Linked DNA regions of Arabidopsis thaliana. The protein of the gene in region 1 interacts with the protein of each later gene in a biochemical or structural test. Each region holds a gene or a part of one and is shown on either strand. Other genes may lie near its edges. The genes, in order: EIF4A-III and ALY4.

Region 1 (12,780 bases):
CAGTTTGACTAACGGGGTTCTCATACATAATATCATTCTCCCACTTTTTTATGTCAGACAATTTATGCTGTGCAGCTACCTGTCTGAAGGTATCAAGTGCTTTTATACTCCTTCTCATCTCCTCCAAGGACCCACTTGATCTATCCACAAAAAGAATAACTGACGGTTTACTTGCAGGTAGAGATGACTCATGGTCCTGCCAGTCGTCCTCCAGCTACATAAGAAAAACAAAGAAAATTGATGTATGTCAGGCAAGATAGAAAATTTTGAATGGACATAACTATATAAGCCTAATAGACATGTAACGACAGATTCAAATTGTATTGACTCAAACAACATAGAGATTTTGCTTTGACGGCAAAAAGCCGCTTATTGTCACTGGAGTAATACAAAATCAGTTAAATAAAGATACGTGAATATGCAAAATCAACTAAGCATACAGACAGAAAGAACCATACCTCTGTAACTATCGGATTTTCCATCTTTAAAAATCTCTGAATGTCATCCCCGGCCTTGAAAATCTTAGAACAATGTGGACATCCTGCCAGCTGAAGGACCGCTGCCCACGAATCAGATTTTCCAAAATTAAATGATGAAGCCAATGATTCTTCTGTGATCAGACCAAATTTTTGCCTTTCCGGAGGCAGAGAAAACTCTTTTGTGGTGGCAATCAATTTCAAGAGGAATGAACTAAATCGCTTGAACTCTTCATGGTTACATGTCTGTCCAAGACCCAGATTTACCCTGCCATGTTCCTGCAAAGCAGCAGTATCATTCGCATAGCTAAAATCCTCAAGCCAGGGAACTTTACCAAATCCACTTTGGAGTCCACACATATTGTTCCATTCTGCATAGCATGTTTTCAGGGTTCAAAGAAGATTAACATAATGGAAGCAATGCACCTACTAGAACATATCAACATCATCTAGACATGAAGTGAGAATCTACCAGGCACCTTCTGGTTATTTTTTCCTATTAGCTTCAGCACTCGATCAGTTTCTACTTTTTTGGAGAAGTTTCTTGCGAAGTAATGATCAGAATGTCTAAGGATTAGGCACACATTCCAATTTCTCTAAACTCTAAAGATCTATTACTAGCTTCATCTATTAGGAGATGAAGAAACTATATAGAAATCAACCATAAAAGAAACAAACATGATAGGAACATAATTAATCTCACAAGATCAGGAGGACTATCTCTCACCCTGCCAAAGGTTATCTTGAGTAACATTTTTCTTCAGCTCAGACATCAGTGTAGTTGTCCATCCGCAAAATTCGAACAGAAGTAAAGCCTTATCAGATGATTGAAGGAAATCTTTCAAACTCTTTGGAGACTTCAAATGTTTGAGAGGGAGTTCTTCAGGCGTAGATGTCAGATAAGGATGAATAGATGACAATATATTCGAGGCTCGGAGTTTCCCTAGATAGTTGTAAGGCACACTATTGTGATAGTACAAAATTGTTATCCCATTGACAGCAGCACCAATGGCTTGTGCTAACACCTTTTCTGAGTTTCTGTATACAACCATTAACTTCAACAAGCCAAACTCTTCTCTTCTCTGAACCATCTGAGTAATTTCATACTTAAGAGATCTGGACTCACCACACCCTATGAAATCAGTAATGAAACCAATCAGAAAACAAATAAAATAGTGATACATATCTCCATAAAGGTAAACCTCAGCAAGTGAGAAATTCAGCTTAACAAGCAAACTGATCTGAGGAGGAGAGTGAGAGTACATGGAGTGGTGACAAAGAGGAGGACGTGAGGGTGGAGACGGATCTGAGAAGAGAAGTTTTGCTCCGTGAGGATTTCCCATTCGCCATGGCAGCTTGAGGGAAGAATTATGGATACGAAGACCAAGAATGGAAGGAGGAGGAGCGTCGGCGTTTTCATCGGAAAACAGCTCGCTCTCACTCGTCGCGTCGCGTCTTCTTCCTTGTTTCGACGTCGCGATCCCGATTCTCTCCTGGTTGGTTCGGTTTAACGGATTTAAATTGTCGAAGGGTCAGCATTTTACCGGTTCGGTGGACGATGGTTTGGTTGCTTCCCTTATCACGTGTATAATAAAAAGTTGATAGAAGTTCAGAAAATTACTCCAAAATTATTGAAATTATCTGGTGGTGAGAAGACAAACATTTCCGACACTAATCAATTCGAGTATCCATGGAATTAATAACGATATGGTTCATCATCAATCCCGGTTCAGATTCTTGACCAACGAGTTTGACTGTTGGTTGGTCTTACGAGATTCCTCAGAATTCGTTGTTACTAGATTCACTCCAACTTAGCTAGATTCACAGAGTCTCTAGAGTCACAAGCAGCGACGTTACAAACTCTATCTGAATATAACCGTTCGTTGAAGGAGATGGTCAAGCTCACAAAGCCTTGTCTTGTGTTTTACTGTTATCTCAGGTTTTTCAGACACTGACGTTTGATCTGATCTTGTCTGACGCTCTCTCACAGCTTCCAACAACGTTAATCCATGGCAAATAAATAAAGGAAGCCTCAAACATTACAAATCATCTTTTTCTTATTCAATACTCTGTTGAGATTTTACCCATTCTTTTTGTCATGGAATATGTGGTTTGACTTCAGATTCCATTACTCAGCTAATTCACTCAATCATTTGCAAGACTACTTCCTTCTCATATCTAACAGCTTGGCAAATATTATTCTGATTATATCCTTATTGTATATACGCAATAGCAGATGTAAGAGTTACATATGGATTGACAAATGTTGACGAGCCCCTCCAAAATCATATCACTGAGAAACAAAGAGCAAAAAAAGAAACACAATTGAAGAAAGTAATTTACCATTTGACTGCCCCTCTTTTCCAAGGGAATACAGATGCAGATAGCTTCCGTCTCATACGGCTCTCCAGTCATCTTCAAAACTCATAACTCCAAGAAACGAATAGATGACATCTTAACTATGACTTGACCTTTGCTTCCCCCATTAAATGAATAATTGATCCGATACAAGAGACTCTCATCACCAAGATGGGTCATTTGGCTCACTCAGAAGCTTCCGTAACTGGCTGTTTGGAACCAACATCTTCATCTTCTGCAGGTCGGGAACTAGAATTGTCACCTTCTCTCTTAGGAATTTGCTTCATCAATTCAATATCTTTGGCATCTACTTCTCCTTGCACCTTGGAATCACGTTCTTCATCCTTTCCCTCTACCAACATTGCGCCATATTCTTCATGTTTTACATCTGACAGATTGTTAACATCTTCCCCTTCACCATGTAGAGCTCGGATCAAATCATCAACACTCCTGTCAGTTTCCTTTGTCATTTGTACATCTGAAGACGATCTTCTATGATCCTCAGATTCCTTAGACGTATTAAAACCGGACGACGCTTGCAAGGGTGAACTGGATGGAGCTAAAGATGTTCCATCACCCAATCCTTTGGTAAGGCACACATATTTGAAAACGAGCTGTTTATAACTATTTAACAAGCCTTCAACATCTCCTATCCTCAAATCACCAGCACTGGCAAATATGTAAGGATATTCTTGAAAGACTTTGCTTGGCTCGGTATCCTTCAGAAGCGTCGCACCCTTATTTTCCAAATCTGAAATGGATTCAGCTTTCTTCATTGGTGTTTCACTGTTTATATTCAGTAATTCGTTGGTCCCAGAAAGACTATCAGACGATTTTGATTGGAAAAGAGTGTTTTCCCTCTTGGGATTCAGACTTTGAGTTTTCTGAAGAGTGGACTCATCACGAGGGGGTGGTGCAGAGCCATGACCAGTTTGATAAGTCTGGCTGTCCAAACCAGAAATTCGTGCCCGTGCAGATTCCATGTTCTTTTCAAACTCAGCTTCATCCAGTGAAATAGATTTTGCATCAATATTTGAGATGAAAGACTCTGCAGAGAGTATGTTTGTGAAGAAGTACGCAGCTTCACCAACAAGTTTAGATTCACGCCTATACCTTTGTATATACAACAAGTTTGAGTGAAGTTGTGGAGGGTTAGCCTGCAAAAAGAAAGAACAGAATTAGCACTAGTAGATGTTCTTGCACATTCGAAACATAATCATGTACAACAAAAATACGACTTCAGATACCAGTATGCATAAGTTGTTCAATCGTTCCCAATACCTTTATTGTTACATATATCAAAACAGGAAGAAATTCGTCTGCTCCAGGTGCATTCTCGTTTGAAGCAATTGAAGCATTTAGCAGTAAGTTATTAATCACTTTGCAACAGTTAAGGATACACACAAGCTTATCACGAGGAGCTTTGTACATGTTTATCTTCTGGAGCTCTTTTTGAGCTAGCTGCCAAAAGGAGAGAAAGGATCACAAGTAAGAACACTAACAAAAAGAGGAAACACTACCGGGAGCTAGCTTTTGACTAGATCGGCTTACCAGCCATGACGATTCATTTTGAAAAGTTGGTTGTATATCCAAATTCTCGGGAGAAATGAATTGTTGAACCAATGACATCTTCTGAAATAGCTTCTCATCAGCTATAACCTCCTCAGTGTTTGAAGCAAACACCCGAGTAAATAGCTTTGTCATAACATACTTCTCCAGGCCCTGTGTATACAAACGAGCAATGATTATGGTACAAAGATGAAAACAATTCACAGACAGAAAAAGAAGAATACTGATACTCACATCTCCAGCACTATCCAATTCCTCCTCAGAACAACCAGACCAAAGTGGATGAGCCCTGAAAGCAGCCTCCATCTTAGAAAAGAACTCCTGAACCATAGCACAATCTTTTTCCGGGTCTGGTGCATTGTTCGAGAATGAAACAATGAAACTGCAACATCAACCAAAAAACATCCTTAACCACGCATTATCCACAATACTTCTATGCTCAATAAACAAACCATTCCAGTATGAAATCAATAATTTCTAATTGTTATACCCTATTAACAAGATCCAATTGTCTTCCCCAGTAACAGCAATTGAAGAAGCATAAATAAATGATTAGAAATCTCAAATCAGTACGAATTTTGCTCAAATAGTATCATCATCAACTGAAAATGGACTTAAAAACGTAAACCGCTAAGAAGCACATCCACTTAAGCTAAGAGGAAGATCGTACATAGAAACACACACATATATCCGGATCTGCATCAAAAGAGGGAGAAATGGGACCTTTTAATGGATTTGACGAAATCGCCGGCGGAGGGTTTGCGCATCCGCTCCAGGAAATCATGCAGCCCCAAGAAGACGTCCGTATTCTCCATCGCCGATCACCCGATTATCTCCGACGATTGACCAGTGAGAAGAGTAAAGTTAATGAGTTCCGTGTCGCTGACTACCAATAAACAAACAAAACCACGGTCGTTTATTTATTAAGTTCCGGTTATTGGTCCTGGTGTTGTTAAGTTAGTGAATCTAATTCGGTCCTAACCCGGTTTTGGGTTTCGTTCATCAATTTCACCCAACCCATCAACCAACGAGCGAGGACACCTGACTCCGTCAAATGAAACACACGATACGAAAAACCTCGACGTCATGTCCAGTAATTTCATCAACTTGCTTTGCTTTTGCAAATGATTGATTTTTGCAATGATCCAAGCTTTACGAAATAAGATAACAATGAACCGTTTCAACTGTCGAGCAAAAGTCTTACAAGTAGTGATAGTTGAGAGTTTTGACCCACAAACCACAATCAAAGCCCCCAGAATCAATTACGAGGAAACGAAAAACCAAACGGTCCAAACCCTAAACCTAAATCGCTTCTCAAGTCATTAAACATTTACCACACGCGAGTTTAAGTTTGTTCAAAAGAGCCCACAGAAACATCAAAGGAAATACACCGTTAAGATAGTGCAATAATTTGACAGAAGCGCTCAACAATACTTTTTCATCCAGACACTTCCCCGCTGAAAGCACAAAAATCTCAGACAAGCTCTTTTAGATAAGATCAGCTACATTCATTGGCATCTCATCAATCTGGGTACTGTAGTACTGCTCAATGTCTCTGAGAATCTTGATGTCGTCGCTTTTAACAAAGTTGATTGCAACACCCTAGAAAGATAACCGCAAAATTGGTTAAAAGATATCCATCTAGTATCTCCAGGCTAAGAAATTAAGCTCAGAAGCAGAGATTAGAAAAAGTTTCTTACCTTACGCCCGAATCGACCAGACCGCCCAATACGATGGATGTAGAGCTCACGGTTGTTGGGGAGATCATAATTGATAACAAGAGAAACCTGTTAAATAAAGATTGTCATGTCAATTCACCTTTACCATAAGAGAATGGAACATAATCTGAGACCTCAATAACAGAGATTGAATTTATTCCGCGCATTGTTATCTAGACAAAATATAGCGGATAAGTAATGACTTACTTGTTGCACATCAATCCCACGTGCCCATACATCTGTTGTTATCAAAACACGACTATCACCTGACCGAAACTCATTCATGATGGCGTCTCTCTCCTTCTGAGGCATGTCTCCATGCATTGATGAGACAGTGAAGTTGTGACTTCTCATTTTCTCACTAAGATAATCCACCTATAACAAATGCGGAGTTAGAGTTGAGTAAAATATAGAAAAGGAACCATAATTCAAGAACCCTAATTACAAGAAACATTGAAAAAGGTTTTAAAAGCCAATGCAATCTAATAGATATCTGCAGGTGAGTACAGGTTGCAAGTACTCTAGCGCAGTGGACTTATATTGTTAATTTCTTTTAGAAATAAAGAAATACATATATTCACAAGATAGTATGAATTTTTGAGCAATTACAAGATTGCAAATCAAGTTCAGATAGCAGTGCTAGAAGCTTAATGTTAACAAGTTTGAGATACAGTTGCATGAGAACCACAATTACCTTTCGTTTAGTATTGCAGAAGATAACAGCTTGAGTGATAGTAAGCGTGTCATAAAGATCACAGAGTGTATCAAATTTCCACTCTTCCTTCTCAACAGCAACAAAAAATTGTTTGATTCCCTGAAAAGATTGTACACAAAAAGATAGCCAATGAAGAATATGAGTGTCAACCTACTGTAAAAGTAAACATGAACGAGCATACAGAAGCATAAGAAGAAACATACTTCAAGAGTCAACTCATCACGCTTCACAAGTATCTTCACTGGTTCTGTCATAAACTTGGATGTCATCTCCAAAATCTCGTGAGGAAGAGTTGCAGAAACCAAGCAAACCTACAAAAAAAACGTATTAGGATTGAACTATTATAGAGTGGAATTTAGCTGTTCATAATACAGATAATAGCTACCAAATCTACACATAAGACATTCAAGCAACTTAACAGTGGCTAAAAGGTTTTTAACAACTTATAATTCTCTCAATCCACATAGAGTTCAAGAAGCCAATCCATAAAATAAGAAAGCTAATGCAATAACATCCAAAGAAACTAGAAGTTAGCCAACACATAATATTGAGCAGTGAAATTGCACCTGAAGATCTGGTGGAAGATATCTGTAAACATCATAGATCTGGTCCTTGAACCCTCTGCTCAGCATTTCATCTGATTCATCAAGAATCAGAAGTTTAATAGCTCTGGTACGAAGACTTCTCCTCTTTATCATGTCACAGACACGACCAGGTGTCCCAGACACAACATGAACACCATGCTCCAGCTTCCTGATGTCTTCTCCAACACTATTCCCACCGATGCAAGCATGTGCCTGAATATTGGCATGTAATCCAATAGCTTGTATCGTCTTCTCTGTTTGTGTAGCCAGCTCTCTTGTTGGGGATAATATCAAGGCCTGAACCCTGCAGTCCGAGATACCAAATACATGAGTACACATATAAAAAGATCTTGCAGCCTAAAAGAAAGTATTACTCAATCACTCTAACCGAAAAGCTAATAACTATCACAAATTTTCATTGTCATTTTGATTGAACATTAATGAATCATAATTCGTTCATCTATTCTACAAGTCAGACAAACAAATCCCACCAAATTTGTGAAATCGATAAGAAACAAAACCTAATGATTTAGGTTAGAGAACAATCCGAGCAAAGCAAGTAAAGTTCAAAATTGAAATGAAGGGTTTAATCCAGCTAAAGGAACAGAAAACATACTCTCTAGAAGAAGTATCAACGACTTGACAAACGGAGAGAGCAATCATAGATGTCTTCCCGGTACCGGACTGAGCTTGAGCAATAACATCACGTCCTTGAAGAATCGGCATAACAGCCCTCTGCTGAATCGCGGAAGGCTTCTCGAATCCATATTCGTAGACACCGCGAAGCACATCTTCCTTAATGCCCATATCATTGAAGCTCGTGATGGGCTCAATTCCATCGGTAGTCTCGAAGACCAACTTATCGTCATCCATAGCTCCACCGCCTCTTCTACCACCTCCACGGCCAGGATTCGCTGTCGCCATAAATCTCCGTCTAGATTTTTGTTTTTATCTCTCCTAGGGTTTTCGATTGATTTCCCCCAAATGCTTATTTCCTCTCTACAGGTATAGGTTCGAGATAAGCGCGGCTTAAAAATAGGGGTACGATTGTAAATCCGACAACTTGTTAGGGCTTTTTTGTCAGGAAAATACCGACTCTTATATGTTTAGTGGGCCTTTATAGTTAGGCCCATATCCATAGGAAGGCAAGTAGCAATTTTGCGTCAAAACGACAACACTGCATCAACGAAGCTGAACTTCGAACCCAGCTTCAGCTTCAGAAGAAGAACCTACAGACTTTAGATCGGTCTTTATCTCTCTCTCCTCTGTCGGGATTTTCTCTCTCTTCTTCACCCTATCTCGTTCCTAATTACATCTCCTCTTTGCACCAAGCCTGATTCTTAGAGCTTGGGGGATGAATAGAACCAGTTTTGTTGTCCATCTCTGTTAAACGGTTCGTGTTTTGTAATAGTTATGGATGACAAAAGCTGAATATATCATCATTTCTATATCGATGCCTCATATTCGTTGTTACATTGGATTTTCCGTTATGCGTCATAATCGTTCATTTTAATTGATGTCTGTTCTTAATCAATTAATTCCCTGAAGTGTGTTGTTATTCCTCTAGTCGAAATAAATTGTATAGAATCTATGTTTCTTTCCGAGTTACTATAGTATGTTTTGCGTTGATATTGATCTCGTTTTTTTTTTTTTTTAATGGTGCAATTACATGTTGCAATGCATTTAGGTTGGATAGTACAAGAAATGGACCCTGAAAGTGATTCTAAATCAATGATCTCTGTTTTTTTTTTTGTAGTTATATTGGAAGAGAAGGGACTTTGTGATGTATACAAGGGCATTAAAGAGGAACCAGAGATGGGGTTTGGTATTGCAGCAAGCCAAGTACTTAGTTAGGCCAGTCGTTCGTGACTATACGGTTTCCAGATATTGTGGATTCACAAATAAATTAACCAATAGTGAAAATTTGACAAGAAAGTCTCTACTTGGTTCATTTTCTCCCCGCGGTGGTACTATTGCCTCGGGAAATCATTTAAGTATTTTGAAGAATAGCCAGTTGCGTAGTTTTAGTTCTGAGGGTGATGGAAGGAATGCTAGTGAGGATAAACATATCTCTTTGAACAAAGAGAATGGTGTAGATGATGGAAAAACCGGGAAGGAGAAAAGTAATAACGGTGTTGGGCATTTGGATTCTCATGCTCAACTTGGAGAACAAGACCAAATAGAATGGCTCAATAATGAGAAGCTTGCTAGTGAATGCAAAAAGAAGGAGTCACCTTTCGTTAATAGACGAGAAAGATTCAAAAACGAGTTCTTACGGAGAATCCAACCTTGGGAAAAAATACAGCTTTCTTGGGAGACCTTCCCTTACTACATCCAGTAATAATCTACAACATGTTTTTTTTTCTCGCTTGTTGTGTTTCTTTCTCCATTTCTGCTTATGGATTCTGCTCATTATCTTTTCACAGCGACCACACGAAAGATATTTTGGTGGAATGTGTTACCTCACATATAAGACAAAAGAATGCCGCTTCCATATATGGTGCCCGTTTAGATTCTTCAAGTGGAAGAATATTGCTCCAGAGTGTTCCAGGTTTGTTATTGACTATAGAATAAAAATGGCAGACCAGGATTTGATGTTGCTCTTCTGTTATCAAGTAAAAATATTGAGGAAATGTTAGATGACCAATAAGAAATTTGAATTTTATTCAGGTACTGAGCTTTACCGGGAGAGGTTGGTACGAGCACTTGCTCGAGATGTACAAGTTCCCCTGTTGGTTCTTGACAGCAGCGTTCTTGCCCCATATGTGAGATTCTTATGAGTAATTTGCCTATAACATGCCACCATTTTTCTTTCGTTCTTTTTGGTGTTTATGTAATATTTTTTAATTCTGGATCAGGATTTTGCTGATGACTACAATGAAGAATCTGAATCTGATGGTGAGAACGCAGAAGCGGAAGCAGATGAATCCACGACAGAGTCTGATGCTGAGGAAGATTCTAGTGCTCAGAGCGAAGAGGATTCTGAAGCGAAAGCAGATGGGAGTGACAGTGAGGAAGCTTGTCTCGAGGTTTCTGAGGAAGCTATCAAGAAAATTGTGCCAAAACTTGAAGAGTTCGAAAAGGTATGATTGCATTAATTGAGATTCAGAAATTTTAGTCTGTACTGATTGTTCTTTTCCTAATTTAGTTGGTAATACCATGGTATTTCTTTTTCTTTTTGCGATACCCCGTGGACAATGTGATCTTGGGACCCTGTCATATAAGTTTTCTGATTCTTGATTTATCTTATTTGTATGAACTTGTTATTAGAGTTACTATGCATGAATTAGAAGGTTTCACCATTCCTGCCGTTTGAATGCTGTTTCTTGGTTCTACATGCGACTCTTTGCATTGTTCCTTTTTTGAACTTCCAATTAAATTGAGTTTCAGAAATTGCTGAAATTTGCTTACCTCCTCTAAATTGTGGCAGCTAGTAGCAGAAGAACTACATGGTGAAGCTTGCGAAGCAGCAGCTGTTGAGCATTCTGATAAAGCCAGGCGACCGGCAAAGAAAGGTAATCATCAATATCAAGGCTCTGGAAGGCATCTTCATCATTACAAGTGCTAGGTACACTTGAATGTATCAGTTTGCTAAATAAGTTTGATTTAGTAATTTTGTATTCTATCTAGTCATAATTTTCCTGGTATTGTCTTTCTATCTTAGCCTTTCACTCTTTCCTCTTCTACTTGTCAGACTGCTAAGTTCTCTTTGTGTGGTCAATTTTTTCACTTTTCCTCATTTCTATTTGTGTTTACGCTTTTTGCAGGAGATCGTGTAAAATATGTTGGACCTTCTAAGAAGGCTGATGCAAAGCACAGGTAGTTTACTGATTCACTTGTGTGATAATTATTCTCTAACCTTGCTGAAGAATATTACGCTCTAATATCTTTTATGACTCTGTCTCATATTATTTGACTTGATCTCTGCTTGCTCTGCCTATTCATATTAGTAGTAATTTGAGTAGTTCTGGTATAGGATTGGATGTGTATGAAACTGCTGCCACAATTGTTATCTATAGGACTTATTCATTTATTTGTGAACAGTGCAACTCGCATTACCTTTGCTTAACTAAATGACTTGTTTTTGCGTGCTTACCATTATCATCACTATCCATGGTTTTCTCAGCAATTTGACATGCCTGCAAATGTAACATTTGATCTTTTAGGAACACATTTTGAACTCATTGCTCTGGAAGTTATAAACTTCCATGGCATGCTAAATATTATGGATGAAGGATTGTAAATGCCCTAGGGTTTGTCTTTAACCAAAATTTCTATACCTACAGGCCATTATCTAGTGGACAACGTGGAGAGGTCTATGAGGTGAATGGGAATCGTGTTGCAGTCATATTTGACATTGGAGGTGATACATCATCAGAGGGAGGTGACAAGAAATCAACAGAACACTCTCATAAGCTACATATGCACTGGATAGATGGTATATTTAATTCATGGCGTTCTGTATGGTTGATGTGTGATTGCTCTATATTTGGAGAAATACCCTGTTTGTAGACGATTGACATCTTATGTAAATGCAGCTAACTTACATATTGTCTGCGCAGTTGGAGACCTAAAGCATGATTTGGATATGCAGGCAGAAGATGGCTATATCGCCTTGGAGGCTTTAAGTGAGGTATGTGTGGAAGTTACATTATGTTTTCGTGTTTCCATTCAGCTAACGTTGTACATTGGCCTTATATATAAGTTCAGATCTGATCATTTATCCAGCAGTAGTAAGTGCTCATGATATTTAGTTTGATTTGAAACTTAACATATATGGATTGTTCAGCGTATGCTGCGTTCTTGGGCTGGAAATTTATGATATCATTTCCCTAAGATTTGAAGTCTAGAGTAGCTTGACTTTGAATGCGGTTAGCTTACACTTTCTCCAAGGAACATACAACATGAAATGGCGTTAATTTATTCTTTCTTTTTTTTGTTCTTGTAGGTTTTACACTCCACACAACCACTTATTGTCTATTTTCCCGACTCGTCCCAGTGGTTGTCTCGAGCTGTACCTAAGTCAAAACAAAATGAGTTTGTAGACAAAGTTCAGGAAATGTTTGATAAATTGTCAAGTCCTGTTGTAATGATCTGTGGACGAAACAAGATTGAAACAGGCTCAAAAGAGAGAGAGAAATTTGTAAGCCTTTCTCACGTGTCATTGTTCATTGGCTCTTCTTTTTGTTTGCTTTCATTTTTTGACCTTTTTTGTTTGTGAACAGACGATGATACTCCCAAACTTTGGCCGTCTTGCGAAACTGGTATGATAGCTAAACTTAAAAGTAACGTTAATTGATAGTCTTAGTACTTATCTATTGTGGTAATTTTTTAAAACTTTTGGTCTCGTATGCACACCA
Region 2 (13,081 bases), on another chromosome or scaffold:
ATACTCTTCATTTTTATTTGATTTTTGTAGGAAAAAAAATGTTTTTTAAACATTAATTTTTTAGGTTTTATATGCAGTATTATTGATGTATTTTAAACTTCAATAAAAATAATTGAATATTCTTTATGATCAGATTTAATATATATTTTAAATATTTTTTTTTTAGAAAATTAATTAAAAATAACAAAAGGAGTAAATAAATAAAACGGAATAAAGTTGGGCGTTTTTTTATTACAAAACATGGGAAAATGGACAAGTTCTTCAATTCTTGCTTTTTGGGCTTCTTGCCTGTCTCTGTCTCGAAACACCCAGAAAGAGAGATAATCTCGCTTATCTGTCTTTATACTTAGCTGGTTTCTTCTTCTTCTTTATCCCTTTTGGCTCTTATTACAACTTTTTTTTTTCCATGTATTTCCTCAAATTTTAATATTTTTTCTTTACTGTATATTCATCAAATCTCAAGTTCTCTAATTTCCCATTCGACCTCGAAATTTGACCAATTTCTCTTGTCTCAAATTTCAGATTCTCTTCCTCTGAAAAAAATCAAAAACCAAGTCTTCTAATTCCATCTCCTCTCTGTACCCATCTCCTAAAAATCTCAACTTTGAGTCAAAATTTTGTCTTCTCTCAAACCAATTCATAGTTCTAAAAATCTCACCTTTATCTCAAATTTTTAATCTTTCATCTGATTTCTGAAACCCAAATTCTCTAATCTCATCTTTGAGCCAAAAAGTTTCAATCTTTCCTCTGATTTCTGAAACCAAAAATCTCTAATTTCAAAAAAAAAAAATCTCACCTTTGGGTCAAAAATGTCAGTAGCTTGTGGACTAGAATGTGTCTTCTGTGTAGGATTCAGTAGATGGGCATGGAAACGATGCACACACGTAGGCTCAGACGATAGCGCCACGTGGACATCAGCAACACCGGAAGAATTCGAACCAATCCCAAGAATCAGCCGAGTAATCCTCGCCGTCTACGAACCCGATCTCAGAAACCCTAAAATCTCACCTTCGTTAGGAACTTTCGATCTAAACCCTGAATGGGTCATCAAACGTGTGACACACGAAAAAACCCAAGGAAGATCTCCACCGTACATTATCTACATAGATCACGACCACCGTGAGATTGTTTTAGCGATTCGTGGCTTGAACTTAGCTAAAGAGAGTGATTACAAGATTCTGTTAGATAACAAATTAGGTCAGAAAATGCTTGGTGGTGGTTATGTGCATCGTGGGTTGTTGAAATCTGCGGCTTGGGTTTTGAATCAAGAATCTGAGACTCTTTGGAGAGTTTGGGAAGAGAATGGTAGAGAGTATGATTTGGTTTTTGCTGGTCATTCTTTGGGTTCTGGTGTTGCGGCGTTGATGGCGGTTTTGGTTGTTAATACTCCGGCGATGATTGGTGATATTCCGAGGAATAAGGTTCGATGTTTTGCTTTGGCTCCGGCGAGATGTATGTCGCTTAATCTCGCCGTTAAGTATGCTGACGTCATCTCCTCCGTCATTTTGCAGGTAAAAAAATTTAACCATGTTTTAATGATCTCAATGTTAGTTAAAAGATTTTTACAAAAATTGATTTTTTAACAAAGAATAATATATTAGAAATGTTAAATCACTTGTATTTAAGTTAAGGGTGTTATGGTTTAGTTGTTTTTGGGGTTAGAGATTGATTTCTGACAACTAATTTTTTTGGTTATGTAAAGAGTTGAATATATTTATAGTTTTGATATAAAATTTGGATTATATTTGTAACTGTCTTGTTGGATGGTGGTGGTTGGTTCATTGTTGACCAAGCATTGTCATAATCCTGTTTCGTAAGTTCAGAATATGCTTTTGCTTTATACAATGAATCGACGAATTGAATTTTTCATTTTGCTTCTTGAGTTTGGTCAGAATATTCTGCTAAATTTTGTACTAGTTTTGGAGGTTGTTTAGTTGTTAAGAAAGGTATCTGTCTATAGAGAGAATTTTTATAGAGTAAGGTATTTTACTAAGAATTTTAACAAAACTTAGTGTTTGTGGAATAATAGGATGATTTTTTACCGAGAACAGCGACACCATTAGAGGATATATTCAAGTCTGTATTCTGGTAAGTGTCGAACTTCGAAAATGCTCTTGTTGGAATGAATTTGTTATAGGTATAGTTCAACATTTTGTATTCGTTGTTCGGACAGCTTGCCGTGCTTGTTGTTTCTAGTTTGTCTGAGGGATACATTTATACCGGAAGGTCGGAAACTAAGAGATCCTAGAAGGCTTTATGCTCCTGGTCGAATTTATCATATCGTTGAGCGGAAATTTTGCAGGTAATAATGAAGTTAGTGTGGCATTTCTTAGCAATTTTTGTTTGTTTTTCCTCTGATTATTTTTTGTATTTAGATGTGGAAGGTTTCCTCCCGAAGTGAGAACCGCGATTCCCGTTGATGGTAGATTTGAGCATATAGTATTATCATCGAATGCAACATCGGATCATGCGATTCTATGGATAGAAAGAGAAGCAGAAAAGGCATTGCAGGTGACATTTAATTTCTGCATTTTTATGTTTTAGATCAATGGTTAGGGCTAAGGATTTAGGATTTAGTTTATAAGGCTTAAGTAAGGTTACAGGATTTAAGATTTAGATTTTCGACGATTTTGTTAAGAGTATAAAATCTTTAATTGTGTTGTTGCTACAAATTTTTTTACTATCTTTGCACAAAATAGTAAGGGACTAGTTAGGCTTCTTTTTATAAATGGTGGGTTTTGTGGTGTGTGGTTACAGATATTGAGAGAGAAGAGTTCAGAGACAGTGGTAACAATGGCACCAAAAGAGAAGAGAATGGAGAGGTTAAGTACTTTAGAGAAAGAGCACAAAGATGCGTTGGAGAGAGCCGTGAGTCTTAATATCCCACACGCAGTGTCCACCGCGGAAGAAGAAGAAGAATGCAACAATGGAGAAGCATCCGCGGAGTTGAAAACAAAGAAGAAGAATTGGGATGAAGTTGTGGACAAGCTTTTCCATCGAAGCAATTCAGGAGAATTCGTTCTCAACGATAACGTTGTTCCTGAAAGGTAGATAGGCTTGCGTCAGGTTGATGGTTGTGATTCAATGGTGTGTGTTTTTTTTTTCTTTAACTCAGTTTTGTAAATTTTCTAGGCTTTATGGATGTGTGAGAATGTCTATAATCCGGTTAAATTGGTCTGAGAAATTTTTGTTCACAATCAGACTCACTTTTTTCATTACAATGTAAAACCTAATTCTCTCTAGACTTCTGAATTTGATGAGTAAAACCGATCTTAAAACAGTTCACTTGGTAACTTTAAATCACTCTTTATATAAAAGAAAATTTAAGACAGCTAGATTCTAAAAGGCTTCCATTTACTTTACAATCAACATCCAACAAAACCAACGAAGAGCATGAAAAAAAGAGAAGCATGATTTCATCTGAAACTAGTTTAGTAAGAACAACACAACACGATTTAAGAGGTGTTCATGGCATCAGCGTGATAGCTCTCAAGATCTTTGTCAAGATCAGCAGCTGACTTCTCCACTGGCTTCTTTCCATTTCCTCTTCCACCACCACGACCACGGCCACCATTACCACGCCCTCTAGCACGAAACCCGCCTCTTCCTCCTCTCATCCCTCCTCCCTGCTGGTTATGACTGCCACCAAGAGAAAACAAGTGCAAATTAAAACATTAACCGAAACAAACGAAAATCAATTAACTACGAATTTTGATTTATTCGGTTTGGTTACACAAAAATAGGAACAAAACTTTTGTGACCATGCAGTTTAATATGGAATGCAGTTGACAAATCTCAGTTCGGTTCTCCGCTAAACGAATTAAGAGAAACAGATTTATACTTACATTGGAAGGCGGCGACTGACAGTAGGAGCTGGACCTCTTCCTCCTCTCCCACCTCTAACTCTTCCTCTCCCTCCTCCTCCTTGTCTACAAGCATCAGAGAAGATTGTGTAAGTCTTGGATTTAGTCTCACAACAGTTATTCATGCGATTACTGAGAAAACAAAAAGAAAAGACAGAAATTCATACTGGATAACAACCGTCCTCTTCAGCCTTCCATTGAGTCCAGTGACATTCACATTCACACGACCAGATAAAGGAGCCTCGGAAGAATTGTTGCCACCCAAAATCTCAAGTCTCATTGGCCTTCCATCCAATAGCACATTGTTATATTTCTTCAGAGCTTGAAATGCATCACTTCTTCTTGGATACACCACTTCAGCTGTGCCCTATAGTTACATGGCACAAAACAAAATCCCTGTTAGAAAGAGCATACAAGATAAAACTTTTTCAAAATCATGAAGAGAATGGGACTGATAAAGATTTGTGAGGACTTACACTTGGACGCCCATTTTTGTCATAATGAATCGCATAACGCTCTACCTCCCCAATCTCAGAGAAGAGTTCCTAGATCCCATGAAGATACATTTTAGTGTCTGGCTCCCCTCTAAGAAACCAAATGCACAAATTATAGAAGTCTGATTATACCCTTATATCTTCATTTGTCACACCCTGGTCCAGATTTGTAACATGGAGCCTGGTTCCAACTTCAACTCCTGATGCCCCGGCAGCTCTTAGGCCATCTTCAAACAAACCGCTTTGCCATGGCAAGCTCCTGACCCTACGGACAGGCTATTCAATAGAACAGAATCATTTCAGTACAAGATGTCTGTCGAACTTCAAAAACAGCGTCAATGAAAAACAATTCCAAAGAAGTGACCACCCATATGCCTGGAAGAGGGAAACCCAGTCAAAGCAAAGAGCTCCACCGAGTAGTCAAGAACCACCCAATGAGAAAACCAAATGAAATGGAGGAACAATGAGTTTGACCGACTATGCTCCGGTTCCAAAACAAATTCTTTGTACCAAGGCTATGATGATAAAAGAAAAACCGACGCTCATAGCATGCTGAAGAAATTCCAAATGCAGCAGGACGTTCATCAATAACTTCATGCATGATACAGTTAAGACTGTGTAGGGGTTAGGAGGGTAAGTCACTATATTTACTACAACACCACACATCTTTTGAGGATTTGAAACTGTGTGACGGAAATGCACAACATGTCTAATTGTACTGGAAGAACAAATTTTGATCTTCATCTTACTGAAGCTCCTCAGGTTCTAAGTACTGTCGCAAAAGCAACCAATAACTTGTCTGCCAAAGTCCTCACAATTAACAACATAAACCACAAAGTACACTGAAACTGCAGGGGTAAGAGGCATTCCTAAATGAAAACATCTCCATGAACTAGAAAGAAGCATGTTCCTAGGCGATGTTCTCAATGCTAAAGAATGTCAAACTATCATCAGAAGTAAGGCTTTCCGCATGGACAGGAAAACCTGCTTCTCCCATCGTTTAGATATAGTATGATGAAGTAAATGCTTCACAGAAACTCAGATTTCCAAATCATACACATAGAAGATCCCAGATTTTGAGCTTGCCTTGTTAATGGTGAAAGATGATGGACGAGCATTCACAGCAAGAGGACCTCTTCTAGCAGGTCCAGCTCCTCTTCCACCACCACCACGTCCACGACCACGCCCACGAGAAATCCCTCTTCCCCCAGACCTTGCAGTTTTACCCCTCTTAACAATCTCATCAAGAGTCATATTCAATGCTCCAGACATCTTAACTTCAATAGTCTTATGAAACACAGTAACAAGACTCAATCTGAAACCTGCATAAATTAGAGAAGGAGTGTTTAGTTACCACCAAAAACATGAACAAGAAAAACATATCATAATCATAAAACTGGCTTATCTTCTAACTCAAACAAGCACTAGCTTAATGACCCAAACAATAAATTTCAATCAAAATTGCAATTTTAGAGCTACCCAGTGTAGAAAAACACAAAGGCTCATGAGAAACAAATCAATCCAATCAGATTGAGAGCTAATCAGATAAACCCTAGATCACTTACGAGGGAAATCTATAGTTCTCAAATCAAACATAACATCGATTGAAACCCTAGATCTATATCCTATATTAACCTAGTCATAGTTATTGAAACGAAAACTAATAATTGCGTGCAAGCAGATGAGAATAGAACGAAATTAATCAAGTAAGATGGTTCAAGAGCACGAATGGTTCGCAAGAAGATAGAAGAAGAAGAAGAAGAAATTACCAGAAGAAGAGATGAGAATCCGAACGAGAGAGAGATTGAAGAAGATGGAGAGACTGTGTTTAGGGTTTTGAGGAGCTTTGATGAGTTTTGTGTTCGTTGATTTTTTAGATCAGACAGAATTTAGCAGAGAAGGGATGGAGGAAGAAAATATGGGGTTTAAGTCTAGGGTAAGGACAATTTCGTAATTATAGAACACTTAGAAGGTTATTTTCGTCTCTATCGAAATTTCGAAATTCAAATAGAATTTGATTGCCAATTTACGATGTACTAGAGACCATTGTTTTGAAATGAATATTTTGCAAACGACTTTACTAGTATACACTAGAATTTAACCCGCGGGCAATCGCGGGCAATCGGTAGATTTGGTTTTTATACTAAATATTTGAATAAATTTGATATTTTAAATTTATAAATATAAATATCTAGTGATTAGTGAAGAATCGTAATATATGATTTGGATATTATCGATTATTGATTTTGTGATTGAGTATAGTGTTTTAGGGATGGAATGTGATCATATTTTGATTTCAAAAACGACATAAATTCTTTATTTTGTTAAACGGTTTAGATTGAAGGGAATTAATTTTATTGAACGGTTTAGATTGAATCGGATCATATAAAGTTTAGGAGATTGTTAATACCAAATTACTCTTAATGATTTTGAATAGCAAAGAACAAAATCCAAAATTGAAATCAAAATTGAAGCCAAATTTAGACAAAATTTCAATTTGTACTTCCCTTTTAATAATGTAGGGATAAATTCGAAGATATGGTCCATAGATCAACTTTTCTTGCAAAAACTTAGAATGTCTCTAGTACATGGTAAATTGGCAGTCAAATTCTATTTGAATTTCATAATTAGTATAGAGACGAAAATATATAGAGATCTTTAGAATATAATCATGAAAACTACATTCTAAAGATCTTTTTAAAAAATATTTGTGATTTTCTCCTAATTTTTATGTTAAATTTTAAAATAAAATAATTCTAGTTAAAAATGACATTTAAAATTTTTAGACGCCATAAAATAAAAAATTTTAAAAAATAAATTTTATCCAAAATTATAAAATTAATATCATATAATCTAAAAAATTAATAGTTAATTAAGATGGTAAGGATAAAATTAGAATTTTATTTTTGTGGTGAGATCGTGAGTATTAAATTGTACAGTTTTATAACTTCGTGTAATTTTCTTCCAACTAAAAACAATTGAGTATTAAACGTCCAAATAAAAATTAGTTAGAGTTTTTTTCAAGATTTTTCCCATTCAAAATTATGAAATTCAAATAGAATTTGATTGCCATTTTACCATGTACAACTTAGAGACATTTGTTTTGAATTGAATATTTTGCAAACGACTTTACTAGTATTCATATATTCGAAGATACCGTCCATTAGTTGTTCTTAATCTTAGTCAAGTAAGTTCATGGATCAAGTTTTCTTGCAAAATGTCTCTAGTACATGGTAAATTGGCGGTCAAATTCTGTTTAGATTTAGATTTAGATTTCAGAACTAGTATAAACCAAAATGTATAGAGATCTTTAGAATGTAGTTTTTCAAATATTTTGTATAATCCCATCATTGTCCACAATTGAATTGTAAAGTATATCTCGAAAGGCTGTCGACCAATGCATTTTGCTTCCATCCCAAATTTATTCTAGAAGACTAGAACCTTTGAAACTCTCGTTGGTATTCCTTTATTTTGGTAATCCTTTGAAACTCTTGTTGGTACTCCTCTATACAATAAGCGTTCCCATCACCGAATGATCTATAGTCCATTTGACTTGTAGAGTTAGGTTTGTGATTGTAAGGAATATATCCTAATAAAAACCGAAGAAGATGAGTAGTTTTCCATCCATGGCCTATCCGAGCTCTACTCTCTCTTATACCTTCGACTTTCTCCAGTGGCCGTGGCTCTTTCTTGCACATCAAGAAATTTGTTACATCCATTGAACCTATCTTCTCTTGTGGATGCAAAGCTAACACCAAAAATGTAAACAGTCAAATCAAATTACGCTCAATGAGTACTTTATACAATATTTTGTACACACAAGGTTAAGGATGCAAATTGTTTTGGTGATTTTCTGTTTTAGCCATGTAAATCTTGAACCGATCTCAAGACTAATCTAGAATTCACGGACTCCGAGAGAACAAGCAAGAGTGGAGTAGAATACTGTTGAATCCGGCATTAATGGAGTAGAAAATGAAGTTGTCGACATCAAACCCTAGAACCGGGATCCTGCCTTGACGAGCATAGGCTTTCAAAGTTGTGTTAATAGCACTTGAAACTTCATCGTCTTCGTTGGCCAAAAACCTTATAGGACCAACACTTCCAAGAACATTCACACTCACCAATAACTTTTTATTCTTCCTTTTCATCACTCCTTTTACATTCTCATTTCTATTCATCCTTTTTCTTTGTATAGACCATTAAAGAAGAATGAAACTTACTTGCTTACTGCTTCCGTTTTATAGATGCATAAATTAAAGGAAGAGAAGACAACATGAAAGGTAAGTGTTAGGAGTTCCATCCATTGAGACTATATGAGAATAACCCTATAATATATATGCTTACATGCATATATAAGTCTCGACACAATAGGTTAGAGAGATTTTCTATCAAGGCTACGAATTTTAGTTTTGTGGGGTTATTGATAATCATAGATATGTTAAGAACCACTAAAGCGGGTCTAAATTTGTTAATAAATTAATGGTTATTGGTCACTAGTAAGTTTAGTGTACGATAGAAAATTTGGAGGATCTAATGCTATTAGAGCTTGTTGGCTCAAATGAAGAAGCTAAGCATATCACCTATGGTGGAGAGATGTGTGGAATCTCTTCTGAAACTATTCCACCACTAAAACCTTTTTATATTATTTACAACTAATGTGCATAAATCATAATGGAGACTTTAGTGAACGAATAGGTCAACATATTTATTCTCCCATGCAAAAGATCAATAATAGCAACTAGAATTTAGAAAATAGTAAAACATATATAAGCTATGTTTCACTAACATATATAAACGTGGATTAATTAAAAGTATATAGCCAAACTATGGGTGGAAATAATGCAAATCACTATGGATACAGTACTCATTGAAATTTTGAACAAGAGTGGTGAAAAAGGATGTAATGTCATTTTTAGGGTCAAACTACTTGAAAAAGATGGATATTATATTGTATATTTCCTTACCTTTGAGGATAGGCTTCCTTATTTATATGCAAAGATCATGGATAGTAACCAAGTGTTGTTTGATCCAGTGGTGATGCATGGTCCCTCCAAAAGATTGATGCTTTACTCTCTATTTTTCTTTGGACTTTTTCCAATGGTCTTGGCTCTTTCATGCACAACAAGGAATTCGTTACATCCATTGATCCTATCTTCTCTTGTGTGTATTCAATTCTAACACCAAAAAAATGATAAACAAATATCAAATTACTTTCGATTTAGAATTTTATACCAAAATTTGTACACACAACGTTAAACAACTAATGCGATTTTTTATAAGCGGGTCAAGATTAATCTAGAATTTAGGTGATTCTAAGAGAACAAACTAAATAGTGGTGGATGGAAAATACTACTGAATCCGGCGTTAATGGAATAGAAATTGAGGTTATCCACTTCGAACCCTAGAACCGGGATCCTCCCTTGACGAGCATAGGCTTTCAAGGTTGTGTTAATAACACTTGAAACTTCATCGTCTTCATTGGCCAAAAACCTTATAGGGCCAACACTTCCAAGAACATTCACACTCACCAACAATTTTTTATTCTCCCCTTTCATCACTCTTTATATATCTTCATATATATATATATATATATTAGTCTTCTATGCATACATCAGTAAAGAAGCATGGATTTCATATACTTATTGCTTTCGTTTTATAAGAGCACAAAGGAAGAGATATAGAGATAGAAAGAGACCATGAAAGGTAATTGTTAGGAGTTTCCATCCATATTGAAACTCTATTGAGAAGAATCTATAATATCCTTAATTACATTCATATTATAAGTCCCGAAACATCAAGAGCACAAATTATTTATCGATGGGGTTATTCATAGATATGTGAAAAACCACTTTTTGTTATAAAAATGATGGTTATTGATCAATGATCACTAATTTGTTTATTGCATATTTGTACGTACGTTTAAGTTTTTTTCTTTATGAATCTAATGCTATTGGCTTGTTGGCTCAAATGTGGATGCATCAACTATGGTGAGAAAGAGAGATGAGTGGAATCTTTTCTGAAAGTTTTCCACCATAAAAACATTGTTTTATATATATTTCTACAACTAAGGTCATTGAGACTTTAGTGAAAAATTGGTCAGCATATTTATTCTCCCATGCAAATATCAATAATGGCAACTACACTTTAATTAGATAATGGTGATCCATAAGCTACAAGGTTTCACTATTATATATAAATATGGAGTAATTAGGTGTATAGCCAAATCATGAGTGGAAATTACGCAAATCACTATGGTTCCTTAGCCTCATTTTCTCTTTAGAAAATGGCTATAATATAATATACTCCTCACAAGGAGGATTTAGTCGGGAATTTCAATGCATCATTAGGTGAAGTACAACTAAAAGTGAGGTGAGACATATGACACAGGAAATGTAGTACGAACCTAATACAGAAAATTATTTATTTGGAAAACGGTAAGCCGGTAATACGAGACAAGTTAGTTCGGTGTACATATCAAATTAATTGAGGTGCACGATATCTATAATTAATGCAGGATAGTTACAGCGAGTTTACATCTATTTTATTATACTACTAAATTTTGAATATTTTGTTCAAAAAGGTGCGAAATAAAAATAATTATGCCAAGTTGATAAAATTATGATTGCTATGTTCTGAATGATGAAATAAGCATTATGAGAAATTGGTAGAACGTGTTACTTTACAATATTACATGTGTTTTGCTATAGAGACTATAGTAACATGGTCTTTTTTAAAATGTCAATAAATTCAACCTGAACCACCGAATATGGAAGGCTCGCCGGACGAGAAGAGAAAAAAATATTGTCGGATACTGCCGGAGCCCAACTTGTAAGGTTGAATTTACTGGAAACAAAAACGTTGTAGGGTCGAGGAAAGCTAAGAGAGTGACGACTATAGGTAGGTATCTATTGTTTGTAGTTTTAGACTTTTATTAGGATTTTACAGATGACTACACTTCAAAATTATGAATTTAAATTTCGATGGTTTACACAAAAAGTTATTTATCTGATCCGAGAAAAAAAAACAGAACAAAATCCTTTTTTCCAGTAAATCTAAAAAGATGACTACTATTTTCAGTATTTTAGTGAAAGAAATTTATATCACTTTTTTTTTTTATAAACGATATTGACTGATCTGATCAACTCTGATAAAAATGTATTAAAATGATTCAGTCTCCCCAAAAAATCAACATAATCCGTGTCTCAAGTTTTCAAATGTGTTACGAGTAATATCTTGGATCATCAAATCGCCTATTACTAATTACCAAATGAATTGTTTGCGTATTTGGTCGAAACTCATACTTTTCATACAAATATGTTTTTTTTTTGTTTCTTAGGTGGATTGAACATGTATTAGTTCCTTTCAACATTTCTTCAATTCTCAACCACTAGTAGACCACAAATGTGTAGGCACTTTTTAAACTTAAAATTGATCTATTTTTGTTGAGCCTTTTGTACATATGGGCATATTTTGACATAAAAACTAGAATAGAAGTATATTCTACTTGGACTTATAAGCTTGGGTACTGTTTGGTCCGCAAAATGACGATTTCGCCTTCAAATTTGTTGATGATAATCCAATTCGTTTTTTCCGTCATGAGACCAACAACCCTCACCGTCTCCATCGACTGCAATTCTCTCCGTCGTGATAATCAAATTTGTTTATTAACACCGACTCTACATTCCATCAAAATCATTATTTTCGACTCCATCAATATCGTTTCCTTATGCTTCGATGATTCACACAACGTTTATACGACCAACCTTTTTCGATGAATCCAATAGAACTAATTAAACAAGTTTTGATGTAAGATATCTAAGCTCTAAGAGATGATGTTATAGAACCCAAATTCTCTAATTATAGATGCGGATCGAATCATCTTAACCGTAAAAGATAATGTCTAAAGAACTCAGAACAATCATGTATGCAATAACTGAAAAGTATATGATTGTGAATCATGAGCAAATCTTAAGTCATTTTCGTCAAAATTATATCTCAAGACCCAATTAAAATTTTAAAGAAGAAAAAATAATAAAGGCAAATTAATATTTTAGAAAAAACAAAAATATCCGTCTTTATAATCACTCGAGAATATGGCTAAATTCATAATAGACCATACTTTATTATGGTTTTTCTATAATTAATCCTAATTTTATTAGTTGCATGAAATTTTGGAAATCTTATAAAATACAATAACTTTTGGTCCATAATATATTGTAATATTGTGTATAGTTTTTTAGTCAATGATTGTTTCTAATTATACTGATTTATTACCAATTTACACTGCCACTTTTGGTTAGTTGCATGAAAATTTTGGAAGGCTAGAAAAAATAAATTTTCGCGCAACAAAATCATACTCCTTTGTTTATAGTTATGGTGATGGAAATCAAATACGTACCAGACCTTTGTTTATAGTTAAGGAAAAAAGAATTAAAGTCTTCAAACTCTAATTTGCTGGTCAAATCCAAATTTGGCGTGACATGTGCCCGTAATTAAAAATTAATTGCGTAATTAAATACTAACTTTCTAATTAGCTGCATCATCGAGACGAATAATTGAGTGTATTGGTCAATTGAATACGACAAAAATTATTTAAATAGTCGGTAAAATACCCATAGAAATTGACTAATCCGTCACCTCCCCCGGATAATACAGTTTTAACATTTGGTTTTCTAATTCAAACTAACATTTAAATTCCCTAAAAACCTTTACACGACCTATTGC

What was found.
Region 2: the proteins of EIF4A-III (region 1) and ALY4 form a complex in vitro, tested with the Arabidopsis thaliana proteins (one study listed by BioGRID).

What each region holds. Positions count from the first base shown.
Region 1 is NC_003074.8:6,859,354-6,872,133, reverse strand, and holds EIF4A-III (eukaryotic initiation factor 4A-III), read right to left. Parts: upstream 8,474-12,780; 5' UTR 8,345-8,473; coding exon 8,037-8,344; intron 7,725-8,036; coding exon 7,403-7,724; intron 7,148-7,402; coding exon 7,040-7,147; intron 6,936-7,039; coding exon 6,816-6,935; intron 6,497-6,815; coding exon 6,329-6,496; intron 6,191-6,328; coding exon 6,104-6,190; intron 6,006-6,103; coding exon 5,892-6,005; 3' UTR 5,488-5,891; downstream 1-5,487. Other genes in the region: AT3G19780 (uncharacterized protein), read right to left, coding at 1-214, 459-847, 1,204-1,608, 1,740-1,896; VPS9A (Vacuolar sorting protein 9 (VPS9) domain-containing protein), read right to left, coding at 3,020-3,991, 4,116-4,295, 4,386-4,556, 4,638-4,785, 5,127-5,218; AT3G19740 (P-loop containing nucleoside triphosphate hydrolases superfamily protein), read left to right, coding at 9,204-9,757, 9,847-9,971, 10,091-10,185, 10,279-10,503, 10,851-10,935, 11,188-11,239, 11,707-11,858, 11,983-12,053 and 2 more.
Region 2 is NC_003076.8:14,978,350-14,991,430, forward strand, and holds ALY4 (ALWAYS EARLY 4), read right to left. Parts: upstream 6,304-13,081; 5' UTR 6,127-6,303; intron 5,680-6,126; 5' UTR 5,630-5,679; coding exon 5,444-5,629; intron 4,634-5,443; coding exon 4,490-4,633; intron 4,409-4,489; coding exon 4,340-4,408; intron 4,231-4,339; coding exon 4,031-4,230; intron 3,930-4,030; coding exon 3,846-3,929; intron 3,640-3,845; coding exon 3,456-3,639; 3' UTR 3,270-3,455; downstream 1-3,269. Other genes in the region: AT5G37715 (uncharacterized protein), read right to left, coding at 674-754, 1,073-1,096; AT5G37710 (alpha/beta-Hydrolases superfamily protein), read left to right, coding at 810-1,511, 2,030-2,088, 2,174-2,302, 2,376-2,511, 2,758-3,051; AT5G37730 (uncharacterized protein), read right to left, coding at 7,792-8,105, 8,301-8,535. UniProt on the Arabidopsis thaliana protein: Export adapter involved in nuclear export of spliced and unspliced mRNA. Plays a role in disease resistance. Mediates multiple defense responses triggered by NEP1, including stomatal closure, hypersensitive cell death (HCD) and defense-related gene expression.